Nothobranchius furzeri: one gene and its partners. The protein of the gene in region 2 interacts with the protein of the main gene of each other region in a pairwise test. Links are inferred from orthologs where the notes say so. Each region holds a gene or a part of one and is shown on either strand. Other genes may lie near its edges.

The links.
Region 1: the proteins of drg1 (region 2) and zc3h15 interact in binary tests that used the Homo sapiens proteins (3 or more experiments, as listed by UniProt). The two-hybrid records come from large-scale screens. The link is inferred for Nothobranchius furzeri from reciprocal best matches to the Homo sapiens genes DRG1 and ZC3H15.
Region 3: the proteins of drg1 (region 2) and rwdd1 interact in binary tests that used the Homo sapiens proteins (3 or more experiments, as listed by UniProt). The two-hybrid records come from large-scale screens. The link is inferred for Nothobranchius furzeri from reciprocal best matches to the Homo sapiens genes DRG1 and RWDD1.

The regions. Positions count from the first base shown.
Region 1 is NC_091752.1:40,303,301-40,307,632, forward strand, and holds the start of zc3h15 (zinc finger CCCH domain-containing protein 15), read right to left. Parts: upstream 2,856-4,332; 5' UTR 2,724-2,855; coding exon 2,649-2,723; intron 1-2,648. UniProt on the Homo sapiens protein: Protects DRG1 from proteolytic degradation. Stimulates DRG1 GTPase activity likely by increasing the affinity for the potassium ions.
Region 2 is NC_091746.1:51,122,794-51,126,939, forward strand, and holds the start of drg1 (developmentally-regulated GTP-binding protein 1), read left to right. Parts: upstream 1-1,258; 5' UTR 1,259-1,409; coding exon 1,410-1,448; intron 1,449-3,150; coding exon 3,151-3,274; intron 3,275-3,420; coding exon 3,421-3,596; intron 3,597-3,672; coding exon 3,673-3,742; intron 3,743-4,089; coding exon 4,090-4,146. UniProt on the Homo sapiens protein: Catalyzes the conversion of GTP to GDP through hydrolysis of the gamma-phosphate bond in GTP. Appears to have an intrinsic GTPase activity that is stimulated by ZC3H15/DFRP1 binding likely by increasing the affinity for the potassium ions.
Region 3 is NC_091745.1:58,580,688-58,585,108, forward strand, and holds the start of rwdd1 (RWD domain-containing protein 1), read left to right. Parts: upstream 1-1,491; 5' UTR 1,492-1,611; coding exon 1,612-1,684; intron 1,685-2,055; coding exon 2,056-2,121; intron 2,122-2,447; coding exon 2,448-2,578; intron 2,579-2,760; coding exon 2,761-2,904; intron 2,905-3,050; coding exon 3,051-3,183; intron 3,184-4,421. UniProt on the Homo sapiens protein: Protects DRG2 from proteolytic degradation.

The DNA of each region.
Region 1 (4,332 bases), on a different chromosome or scaffold from region 2:
GATCAGCTGAAACTGTTGAGAAAAATCTGTTCAAACAAAATAACAGAAGATGTTCAGAAAGTTTAGAAGCCTGTGTTCATCATTAACGAACCGCATCTCAGGTCATCTGCGTTTACGTGCTTTTAACATGGACTTTACTGTCGTCCAGAGTATTTAACCGAGGACGTTTTTCTACCCAACATCAGCCTCCAATCAGGTCTGTAAAACCCAGATTATCCTGTGTTCTTTACAAGCGTGTCTCCATCACCTGCTGCAGAAGCTGCTGTGTTCAAAGCTGACAGAAACGGGGATCCGTGCGCTGCAACCCCCACGATAAACCCGCGTATTTCCAGTACAGATTTGAACATCTTTGTCGAATGATTTGTGCAATAATCAGATTTTTATTTTACTTCCACAAAATGCAAGTTCTGAATTAAATATTACTGAAACGGGACGTCTTGTCGTTGGATTTAAAAGCTGCCGCTCGTTAATTTCGCTGTCATTTTTGAAGTCAGGCAGTCCAAATGACAGCGGAGAGGCCCGCTGGCTGTTGCACACATGCGCAGTGGGCATTATTTTACCCCAACAATCCGAATGGCTGTGTACATGCACGTCAATCGGAATGAAGAACGGAATAAACCACCTCTCTCAATCGGATTGAAATTTCAATCCGATCGGGCCGAATCGGATCAGAATATTCTGATTGACATGTTTACATGCAGAATTTTCAATCTGAATGGGCATTCAATCCGATTAAATATGCGCATGTAAACGTGGCTAATAAAAGGCTTGAACTACTTCAGTTGTGTGTAATGAATCTAATATATATGAAAGTCTAATGTTTATCAGTCCATTACAGAAAACAATCAACTTCATCACAATATGCAAATTTTTTTAGAAGGACCTGTACATTTGTTTGCAGGACATAACTAAACCAACTAAAACCATTTCTAAATTCAACGGTTCAAATCATTTGGTAAAAAATTTAAAGAAATTTAAAATCCACCTCAAAGCATCCGTAATCTTTAGTTTTAAGATAAATGTCACTTGCCCAAATTGTATTTAAAGCAAGTTACTGGATTTAAAGAAGTTGTAGTTGCTGTATAATTTTTTTTTTTTTTTTGATTGAGTCAGAAAAAGGTAGAATGCCTTCTCCAGGTCAGGAACGAGGTCCTGCCTCAAGTCGAGGAGTTTAAGCATCTCAGCGTCTTTTTCACGAGTGAGGGAAAGATGGATCGGGACACTGATCGGTGGATTGGTGCTGCGTCTGCAGTGATGCGATCTGCCGTGGTGAAGAGAGAGCTGAGCTGGAAGGCAAAGCTCTCGATTTACCGAGTCAATCTACGTTCCAACCCTCACCTATGGTCACAAGCTTTGAACATGATCATGGATGCAAGCGGCTGAAATGAGTTTTCTGCAGGGTGGCTGGGCTTTCCCTTAGAGACAGGGTGAGAAGTTTGGTAATCCGGGAGGGGCTCGGAGTAGATCCACTGCTCCTTCATAACAAAAGGAGCCAGTTGAGGTGGCTTGGGCATCTGGTCAGGATGTCTCCTAGTCAGACGCCTCCCTGGTGAGGTTTTACTGGGAGAAGACCTAAAGAGAGACCCAGGACACGCTGGAGGGACCATGTCTCCCTGCTGGCCAGGGAAGGCCTTGGGGTTCCCCCGGAAGAGCTGGCCCAAGTGGCTGGAGAGGAGGAAGTCTGAGCCTCTCTGTTTAGCTGCCCCAGCAACCAGACCCCAGATAAGCAGCTGAAAATGGATGTATAGTTTTTGACAAAGTAACATGTTGGAACAATTACCAGTTCACATGGTGTCACACCAACATCTTATGAGATATTTGTTGTGATCTGAACTCATTTTCCTAGAGTTTAGTGTATTTCTCAAATGCAAAATAGTTTTCTCCTAAGATGACAACTGAAAGACTTCACTTCCCAGCATTAAAAGCACAGAGAAACAAGGTCAGATATAAAAACTTCCCTACTACATTTATCCAAACGTATTGGAGTGATGCTTACATGAGTTAAAGAAAAACTGACCATCTTTCCCAACTTGTTGAAAATAAATGTTGAATTATCTCATGTGAATAAATCAGAATTAGGATAGACTGTGTTGACTTGTCTCTTAATGAATAACATGGAAACATTACAACTATTAATCTGAACGTCAACACGTCAGTGACGTGGTCTCCTGTCTGTGCTCATTACTCCAGCCAGCTTCTCCAGCTTATCTGACTGCGGCCTGAACTCAGAAATCACTTAAATAAGCAGCCTGGTCACGTTAACAAAGCAGTTATAACGGCTACCTAACTTTATTCTTACCTGTTCTGGTCAACACCTGACCAGATAAGACCCATTAAGCGTCCACCTGAGCCATTTAATGCATAAAGATGATTTTCAGGTCATAAAATAATTACTAGAACATGACTGAAAGATAAAAAGCTACGCCGGACAACTTGTAGGCCCTGCTATTAGCATCTATGCTACACGAATCTGTCAGCTTCATAAGTTTTAGCTAATAACAGCAGAGAACGCCACAGTTAGAAGTTGCATAATCATAGTTTACACACAACCATAACCAAAGGTCTGGAGGACTTTACGCGTTTGGTGGCTTCAGTTTGGCGCTGAGCTGAAACCAAACGCCGACAGGCTAACTCGTGTATTTTTTTACCTCAATGATCTTTTCCTTTTTCTTCTCCTGAGTTTTTTTATTCCCCGCGGGCTGGGGCGGTTTCTTCGGCGGCATGTTGGCTCAGGAGCAGCGGTGGGAAGTAAAAGTGGGTAAAACTACTAGAAAATAGGTCTTTTGGATGTGAAAGCAGCCCCTCATGAAGCAGATGTTACTAGCACTCGGCAGCAACAGCGGCGCCGTTTAGGCCACACGTGAGCTGTTGATGTCCTGTTGCGTCATGGCGCACCCGAAGAGCAGGATGGGAGATGTAGTTTGCGTATGTTAAACTCAGAAAGACGGTTTATAATATGAAACGACACTACAAATCATCTAAGTGTGTTCTCGGGTTGCAGAGGCAGCAGCAGGGAAGCCCAGACCCTCCTCTCCTCCTCAGCCACTTCCACAAGCTGCCCCAGAGTGGCCCAGACTAGATCCAGAATCCCCTTATGGGTTGACCTGGGAGCAGGACCTGCGTTTGGCCTGGCTACTTGGGCTCAAGCCCTGAATGTTTTATGAAAAGACTAGTGCGTGTTACGTGTGTGTGTGTGCGCGCGCGCGTGCGTTAAGTCCCGGATCTTCTTCAGTCCTAAATTCACCCCTGCCTGGGGGCCTCCTCCCGCCAGCAGGACACACCCAAAATACTTCTCCCGTGGCCTGACCAAATGCCCGAACCATCTCAGCTGGCTCCTGTTGATGTAGAGACGCAGGCGTTCCACTTGGATTCCCTCCCAGGTGCCCCACTCCACAACCTCAGGCTGAGTCTAGCCAGTACAAATAGGTGGGCCCCATTTGGGACATATGTGAGCGAGCTGTATGGGTCCCACCATGGTTTGTCCGCGGTTTCCATGGTGGCCCCACAGGGGTTTGCCCAGAAAGATCTTTACCCACGTAGATTTTAACAGGCCCTACATGGGTTTTCAGAGGGTTTCGAATCTTTGTGGGTAAACCCCTGTGGGGCCACTGTGGATACTGCGGGCAAACCCTGGTGGGACCCATACAGCTTGCTCACATATATTCCATATAAGGCCCACCTGTGTGTTGGCTGGGGAAACTTGGCTGCTTGTTTTCACAATCTTCTTTCTCCCTTACCACCACAACAGACATGTTTATCCAATGCTGATGGATCCGCCTCTCAATCACCCGTTACTTCCCTCATGAACAATAACCCCAGATTTTAACTTTGCACTTGAATCAGGCCTTCTCCCTTGACCTGGAGTTTTCTGGTCTTGGATTTGGAGGTGCTGATCCTTATTCCACTTCACACAGGGCCACATCATCCACGGGGTGACTGGGCTCAGAGGTTTAGGAGTTTACCCTGTAACTGGTAGGTTGCTGGTTTTAACCCAGACTCCATTTGTGTCAGTCAGAGCAAGACAAGTCACCTTCTTGCCTGCTGGTGGTGGTGGGACGGATGGACAGCAATGATAATGCTGCAGTCTGTCAGTGCGCCCCAAGACACCTGTGTGAATGTGTCTATGCTGCACTGTATTGTAAAGTGCTTTGGAGTCCTCTAAGATGAGACCTTCCTGCCACCAAACACTAAACCTCCCACCTCATGGCTGCAATTGTAAATCTTGTCTTGTAAAGTCTGTAAATCCTAACCCATGATAGTTGGTCCATGGTGGTGTAATTAACATGCACACCTCCTCACAATGCCTTTCTGTTCCAGATACAGTCATGGAGC
Region 2 (4,146 bases):
AAATTTCATGGTTAATCACTACATGTTAAAATCTAAGCTCAGCTCGGCAGTGACCTAAAATACATAAATATAATTTTACTTACCGAAAAAAATGAAGTGGAGACTCCTTGGACGCTCTATTAGTGCAATTAATACCACAGCAAGTCTTTTTGTCCAACAATTGCACAAAAAATATCCAAAAAAGAATGTACAAACACAGAGACTCAAAATCCTGGAACAGTTTCCAAGCCAGACCGAGGCTCTACTGAGAGCTAGCTCTATGACTTTGAACGTCAGTTGAGAGTCAGTCTCATGCCAGACTGACCAGTGAAGAGAGGGCCTCAAGTTAAGACCCTCTCCTCATTGGTCAGTCCACACAAGGTGGGTCAAAGGTTACCCTGAGCAGGTTACATGATGTCAGGCATTCAAGTATTGAGTATATTTACTGCATATTACAGTAAAATATTCTGTATGTGACCATATTATGGTGATCCTTGGGTCATGATGATGGGGCCCTTGAATATTGTTGCCCAGGGTACAACAAAGTGTTAATCTGGCCCTGCTCCTGCCACCAACAGAGCAGCTGTTTTGGGGAGTTTGCAAAGAAAATGTGAACTTATCGCTATCATAATCATTCTGTCCTGTTTTGCAAAATACTGCGTGCTTTTTGTTTCTTTTACTTACAAAACTGAAACACAACTGTGAAATTATTTATCACACTGTTGGACATACTTTATATCTCTTGGCTCTCAAGCATTGATGCAATCTTATTAAAGCAGAGTAAATAGGATAAACATGTATGCCTTACCTTGGTGTGAAATATAATAAAACTGCCCTTTTTCACCCAGGTTGCAGGTCTGTTTCTCTTCTAGAGTAATGAAAACTGCTGAAAAAAAGTCTAAATCATAATCAGCTTTGAATTCAATTTCGATATACATTTAATCAGATGATGAGAGATGTGTTCTAACTTGTAAACAACAATATTTATTATAAGCTCACATTTGACGTTTTTTATGTAATTTTATAAAAGAAAATGAAGCTGGTATGTTGCAAAATAGGACAGAATGGTTATTGTAGCGCTAAATTCATATTTTCTTTTTTAAAACTCCTCAAGACCTAGGCTGTAACCCTGTAGCGAGGAAAGACGGTTCCTCTTACATTAAATAGCCAATCGCAACAGAGCCCATCCAGCTAATCAGAGGCGAGAAAAGCGGGACGTCATACGATTCCAAATGACGTTTACGGCGAGGCTACGTAGGGAAGGTCTTCGATCTCGCGAGACTTTCCGTGAATTGGCGTAGCCGCGTTTGTGTGGTGTGTGTTACTGTACACGCTAACTAAACCTAACCACCTAAACTTTGTCATATTTGTCGGTAAACCTCTCCGGTATACATAGTTAAGGTGAAGTGGTCTTTAGAATCAACGTAACCATGAGTGTGCTTGCCAAAATAGCAGAGATAGAAAATGAGGTAAGGCGAAAGTTGACGCTTTAAACCCTTCGAGTCTGTCACGTTTAGTTCACATAGCTACTGCTAGTCGCTAACGCTATCTCATAAAAGAAGATCCATTTTAACCTATATTTGACTGGCCCCGCATCCCTGACAGTTTAAGCTGTTAAAAAAAGAAAATGTATTTCAGTGTTCAGTTTAGTTGTCACTTATAGATGAATAAAGAGATTAATGTCAGTTCACAGATGTTGGCAACGCATATGCTAAACCGGTTCTAGCTTAGATTTGAATAACTGATTAATTTAATCTGTTAATTGCTTTAATATTATCGTTATTAACTGACAGATGCGCTGAGTTGACAATATCGAAATGCACTGACGCGAAAACGGCACCGGACCAAATTTTTGTTTTTAAGCCACTCTGAGCGTACAGGCATCAAATATAATTCAGATACGTGTAATAAATGGTTGTTTGTTGGTAATCTGTTATAAAAGTACAAATTGTCTCCAGTTCTTTAGAGTGCTACAAAATATAAAAGCAGAGTTAGAATTAGGGGTAGACCAATATATATAGGCCGATATTAACGGTTTTTTATACATCAGTGTTATTTGTCTTTCAGAAAGCCAATTTAAAGTCAGGCACATCCTCAGGCAGCCCGGTGCTGTTATAGAATTTAATCTAAATGTATTTTTGCATTCACTAATAAAATCTGCATAATAAATACTCTAACTTTATATAGTTGCCTCACAGTGCACAAAGTTAACAGTTATGGGCCATTCCCATCTGTACCGGGTCGGCCCGGGCCGGGTAGCGTAGGTTGTTTACATATCTGGGTGGTCTGGTATTTTTCTGGGCCAAACAAGGCTCATTCTCAGCCCTCTTCTCAAGGGGGTCTGCTTCAGGCCGACCAGGGCCAACACACCCACTGCTGACAGCAAATTCACACCTTCCATTAGAGCAAGCCTCTGATTGGTGGGTAGAATCAGCCCACATGGGCTTAAGACAAGAATGTGTGGAATCAACCAGGCCAGGCTGGGGCCGACTGGGGCTACCCGGCCCGGGCCAACCCGGTACAGATGGGAATGGCCCATTATTCGTTAAATTTAGAGATCAAAAACTGCTTCAGAAATTTTGTGCATCAACCGTTATTAGTGACAGTTAAGCATGAAAATCAGGTGGAAAATGTCTAGATATTGGCTATTTGAAATCGGGCCATAAATATTGGCAATACATATTGGACATTGGCTGAACTTGTCTCCTACATTTCGGCAATAGAAAAACAAATATCAGTAAATAAAGATTATTACAAGAAAATCAGCTTCCTAGGAAGCAAACCTGAAGAAGTTATGCGTGGTTTAAATGTTTTGAACAATGCTACTACTGTATTATTAAATAAACTTTTTCGAATAATCTAAATAAGTTGGTGTAATGAAATAGATATCCATCTTTCCATCAAAACTAATATTTTTTCTGCAATATCTGTATGCTGTGTGTAAAGTCAGATAGAACACAGATATGTATGACCTCCTATAATTATACTGAGCTCATATTAGGCACCCATCCAGTCTTCTTAAAGTTTCCTTTTAATTTTGAGCAAGCCATGAATCAAAATTTAGACATTTCAAGTAATTAGCTTCTGTTAAAGTTCTACTTTGAAAGCAATAAAACGGTCCAGCTAAATGTTTTACTTCTTATTTCATCATGCACTCTGGTGTTACTGTAGATGGCCAGGACACAGAAGAACAAGGCCACAGCTCACCACTTGGGTCTGCTCAAAGCACGTCTAGCTAAGCTGAGGAGGGAGCTCATCACACCAAAAGGCGGGAGTGGTGGTGGACCTGGAGAAGGTAGTCTTACTATATTGTGTATTTAATTCACAAATAGCTCCAATTCAGGAATTGTTTCTGAGGTTTCTCTCCCATGAGGCATTTAAATTTATGTCTGTTTTTATCCATAATTACAGAAATTCAGGTTTTTATTCTCTCACATACAGGTTTTGATGTGGCAAAAACCGGCGATGCTCGAGTTGGTTTTGTTGGCTTTCCTTCAGTAGGAAAGTCCACCCTGCTGAGTAACCTAGCAGGTGTGTACTCTGAGGTTGCAGCATACGAGTTCACAACGCTTACAACAGTTCCTGGGGTCATTCGGTATAAAGGTGCCAAAATTCAGGTACAGGAAAATGTCTTCCAGTCCTGAGATATTAAAGTGGTGTTTCATTGGGTTGAGATTTATTTTTTCTTTATAGCTCCTGGATCTTCCAGGAATCATCGAAGGAGCCAAGGACGGCAAGGGTAGAGGCAGGCAGGTCATTGCAGGTAGAGTTTTATTAGATTTCTGCTAAAGCAAAAAGAAAGCCACTGATGTTATAATTTTGGAATTTAACTGAAATCAGAAATTAACTTTGAATAAAAGGTTTTTTTTATGAATTGCTGTCAACTAGACCTAACTTGTGTGTTTATAACCTAAAACACGATGACTTATTGTAAATGTTTTATTTATAACTGTTTCATGTTCTTAGAGGCCTTAGCAGGGTTTCTGCAACTATCTAGCTCCTAAAATAGCAAACAATTGTGCAGACATGGCAAGCTTTATTCTCTTGCATCATTCCAACTGTATCTAATAAAACAGAATGTTATCTTTCCTCTTTCTGTTTTATTCTCAGTGGCTCGAACCTGCAATCTAATCCTGATAGTGCTGGATGTGTTAAAGCCTCTTCTTC
Region 3 (4,421 bases), on a different chromosome or scaffold from region 2:
CTTCTGATAGAAAATAGGCAGTGAAAGGCTAGGACTTGAAAAAAGTCTGACAGATCTACACTGTCACTTAACATTCATGGAATCACCCACCTTGACTCATGACGGGGAAGTTGTTGGTTTAGCGTCCAGCAGAGAACATCTCAGCTTGTGGAAGCTAACTGTTAGCATAACAACTTCACCGTACAGCAGAAGCTCCTACAGGCTTGTGTAAGTTGTGGAGATAAATTATCAACTTTACAGAGCAAACAGAGTCAGTGGTAGAGTCACCCTGCTGTTATCCAATCCAGGGTGAGATGTCCAATTATCAGGAAATAAGACTCCAAAACCTGCCTTCTGAAGCTTTTTTTTAAAACAAGTTTTATTTAACCAATGAAGCTTACAGGCTTACATAAGAATCAATATTTACAGTTGAATTCTGAGCATGACATATATATATATATATTACATCAAACAACATTATTAGGAGTAAAGGAAACATTCACCAAATTGTTATAGAGCCAAATGGCTTTCTTGGAACTACATGGAATCCATAAAGGATGCAAGTTCTTTAAATAAAAACAATAAAGATCGGTTTGATATTGCCAAATTTACATTTGTGTATAAAGAATTTGGCGAAAATAATCAAATTATTGACAGTGAATTGCTGCATTTTATTCTCCAAACTAATACCATACTTGATGTCAGAAAAAGATAAGGAGCGTATAATGAAATTATTATGCGTTAACCACGAGTGAAAACTATCCCAGAAAATTTTGGTAAAGATGCATGTGAAAAATAAATGTATCTCAGTTTCTATATTAGAAGTGCAAAAGGCACAATCGTTCTCTCCAATAGCCTTCTGAAGCTCAGTTGTGATGTGAGCAACTTTAGGTCCAGGAAATGGTGCACCAGATTTAAAAAATAATGCTGTAAACAAATAGTCTTTTCAGAAACATAAATAATTATTTTTTAAATGTTTTTTTTTAATTTACAAAAGATAAAAGTAAGTGACCCAAAACATCCAGCCAAAGTCATTAAGAACTGTCTTCAGCGTGAAGAACCAGAAGTCCTGGATGGTCTGGCCCCCCACAGAGCCCTGATCTCAACATTACATGGAGACAGAATGATGTGAGGAAGCCTACATCCACAGAAGATCTGTAGTTAGTTCTCCAAGATGTTTGGAACAACCTACAAGCCCAGTTCCTGCGACAACGGTGTGCACGTGTAGGTAGAAGAAAGTGGTCACAATAATTACTGATTTTTCTTTTGTTCACTCATTCCTTTTTTAATTGGTTTTTGAATAAGCTATCTTGTTTTATCATTTTCTGCTTTCTATTCTTTATTATTACTACAATATACTACTTTATTTATAATACAATCACACTGCAGTGCTTCATTGTTAGATGCTAAATAGAAATGATACCGTTGATTCTGTTTTAAGCTCAGAGAGAACAATCTGGTTCCACTCTTGTCCAGCAGGTGGCAGTAACGCGCCTTACGTAGGCCACAGTTTGTCAGACCAAATGTTCGATCCTTGATATCATCGATTGATAGTGAGTGGGTCCCTCGCGGTAGCGTTTTTGTGCCTGTCATGGTTCTATTGAAGACCAGATAACCTTCAGATACTCAAAAATGACGGACTACCTTGAAGAGCAAAGAAATGAACTTGAAGCTATAGAATCCATCTATCCTGACTCGTTTACAGGTTCGATCTTCGTCACGTTTTAATTTCTAGCTTCCAGCTAGCAGGCGTCAGCTAACCGATTAGAACAGCATTTTCCCGGTGTGTTCCCAGATATGAAGGCTAGGCTGACATAGGGGTTGTCCAGTTCCTGGGACTACAGTCGGGTTTAACCTACTGAACCCAAGACCGATTCCGTTTTTACTTCTGGAGTGTGTTTGAACATGCTAGTAGCTAAAGAACATCTGGAAGTTCCATGGTGGAACACAGAGTTAAAGCATCTATGTAGCTGCAATGTTGGAACGTTTAATTGTGGAGTGAATTTCAAACTTTAGTGTTTATCTGAACCTGTTGGTATGAGTTCATAGAGATTATTTCCTCTGATGTGCTCTCAGTGCTGTCTGAAGACCCCACCAGTTTCACCATCAATGTGACGTCAGATGCTGGGGAACACGGCGAGAGTGAGTACACCTCATACTCTCCTCCCACGCCCCCTAGCCTTCTATACCTCCAACACCTTTTACATCTAGCACACTTTTCACCATCACATCAAAACTCAGCTTTTGGATCACCTCTGCCAGTGTGCTGTGGCTACGATGCAGCTCATCACCACCAGAGTGAATGGATGAATAACTGTAGTGTAAAGCACTTTGGACTCATCTGGCTCAGACTGGCACTGTACAAGTGCAGGTCATTCATCACGTGTGATTGGGAGGTTTTGTTTCAAACGCCAGTCATTGAGTTTCTGTGTAAGGTGTCATAACAAACAGCTTTCTGTTTGTTACAGCGGTGGAAGCAACGCTAAGGTTTACATATGTAGCCAAATACCCTGATGAGCCTCCGTTGTGGGAGATCTACTCCCAGGAGAACCTGGAGGACCAGGATGCGGAGGACATCCTCACCTTACTGCAGCAGCAGGTCTGTCAGTACATGTCGCCTTCACTCTCTGTAAACGTTGGGTGTCTTCAGGAATGAGCTCAGACTGTCTTGGGGTGAATGGTAACTCTGCATATGAAAGGCTCAAACTGTTTCAGGTCATTTTTAGGTGTTTTAACATCCGGTTGTTGGTCTGATTTCATGTGATTCGTGTCACTCTTCAGGCTGAGGAGAACTTGGGGATGGTGATGATTTTTACCCTGGTGACAGCTGTCCAGGAAAAACTAAATGAAATAGTGGATGCAATGAAAAACAGGCAAGAAGAGGAACGACGTCAGAAAGAGAAGGAAGCAGAGGAAGCAGAGAAGGTAATGGTGATTAGTCTTATTTTAGATTAAGCAACAGGCACTGAGGATTTTCCTGTTCGACTTAAGGCATGACCAGATTTTTCATCCATCTCCCTGGGCTCAGTGCTGCTTTGATTTTCTGTTAATGGTTTCTCCCTGTTTGGTAGGTGGCGTTCCAGGGCACAGTGGTGACCATTGAAAACTTCCTGGCATGGAAAGCCAAGTTTGAGCTGGAGATGACGGAACTTAGAAGAAAAAGACAGAAAGAGGAGGAGCAGGCTGGAAAACCCAAACTGACTGGTAAGCCTGTTGGTCCAGATTCCCAGGATGGGGCTGATCAGGAGTCTCATTGATCAAACATTGTGTAGAATACTTACTAAAACCGTACTTAAGCTCAGCAAAAAAATGTATTTATGCCAAGTAGGTTTGTGATCTATCAAACTTGGAGTACACACAGCTGCACGCAATCTCCGCTTAATAAATCAGAGACTAACGAGAAAGGTTCTCAGCTGTTTCTGAGTCACATCCCGCCCTCAACACACCCACTTACTGCCTTAAATGGTCAATGCAAAGTGCCTTGTGGATCTCATGCATATACATAAGCCGGCTGTTGCAGCGCTCCGCCAATGACGATGGCGACCGTAGATCAAGGAAGCGCTATTTCACAGAAGCAGAAATTGAGGTACTTGTAGGTGAGGTGGAGAAATGAAAGGAAGTGCTTTTGCAAAACAAATAAGAGAAAATCCACGGAGTGGCACAGCGTTGCTGAAGCCGTCAATGTTGTGAATTTTTCAGAGAGATCTGTGGTGGAGATTAAAAAAAAGTGGTCCGATTGGGACTCGATCCCCAGACTCCTGCGTGAAAGTCACGCGCTAACCAGTTAGCCAAAGGGACATCCCCTTGTCCAAGTAGCCAGGGCGCATGATCAATCAGGTCACAGTGACAAGACACTCACACCGTCACAGACGCATGACATTCTGTCTCAATCTGTCCCCCTGCTGATATTCAGCATTCCGTATTCTGCGCTTCAAGCTGTGTGTGTGTGCGGGGGGGGGGGGGGGGTCTTGTTCTGTGTGAAAACGAAGCAGTACAAGTGATAATGCTGCAGGATTTCATAATTGTATCCTTCTCAGCAGCAGCACTGCAGGTGCTCTCCATGTCCAAAATGTGCGTAAGCCAGGTCCTTAGTCAACTTAAAGTTGCGCACATTTTTCCGCTAAGTTTTCTTTTATAAATCCTAGTTTGCGTGGAAAGTTGCTTACGCAGTTTTCCGACCCCGTTTTGTGCGTAAGCAAGCTTGATAAATGAGACCCCTGCTCCTCAGAGAAGTTTTCTCACTTCAGACCTGACATGTGAGCAGTTTCACGGCTGTAGTGAGTTCTCCATTTAAAAAGGTAACACATGTAGAGTGCTTGAAACTGTAACTGAAATTGATTGTAGCACAATGGTGTTTCCACACTTGCAGCATTTAGTCAATTTAAATTTACCTCCATGGTTCAGTTCTTCTGAACAAAGTTGTTTTACCAGGATGCAGAACA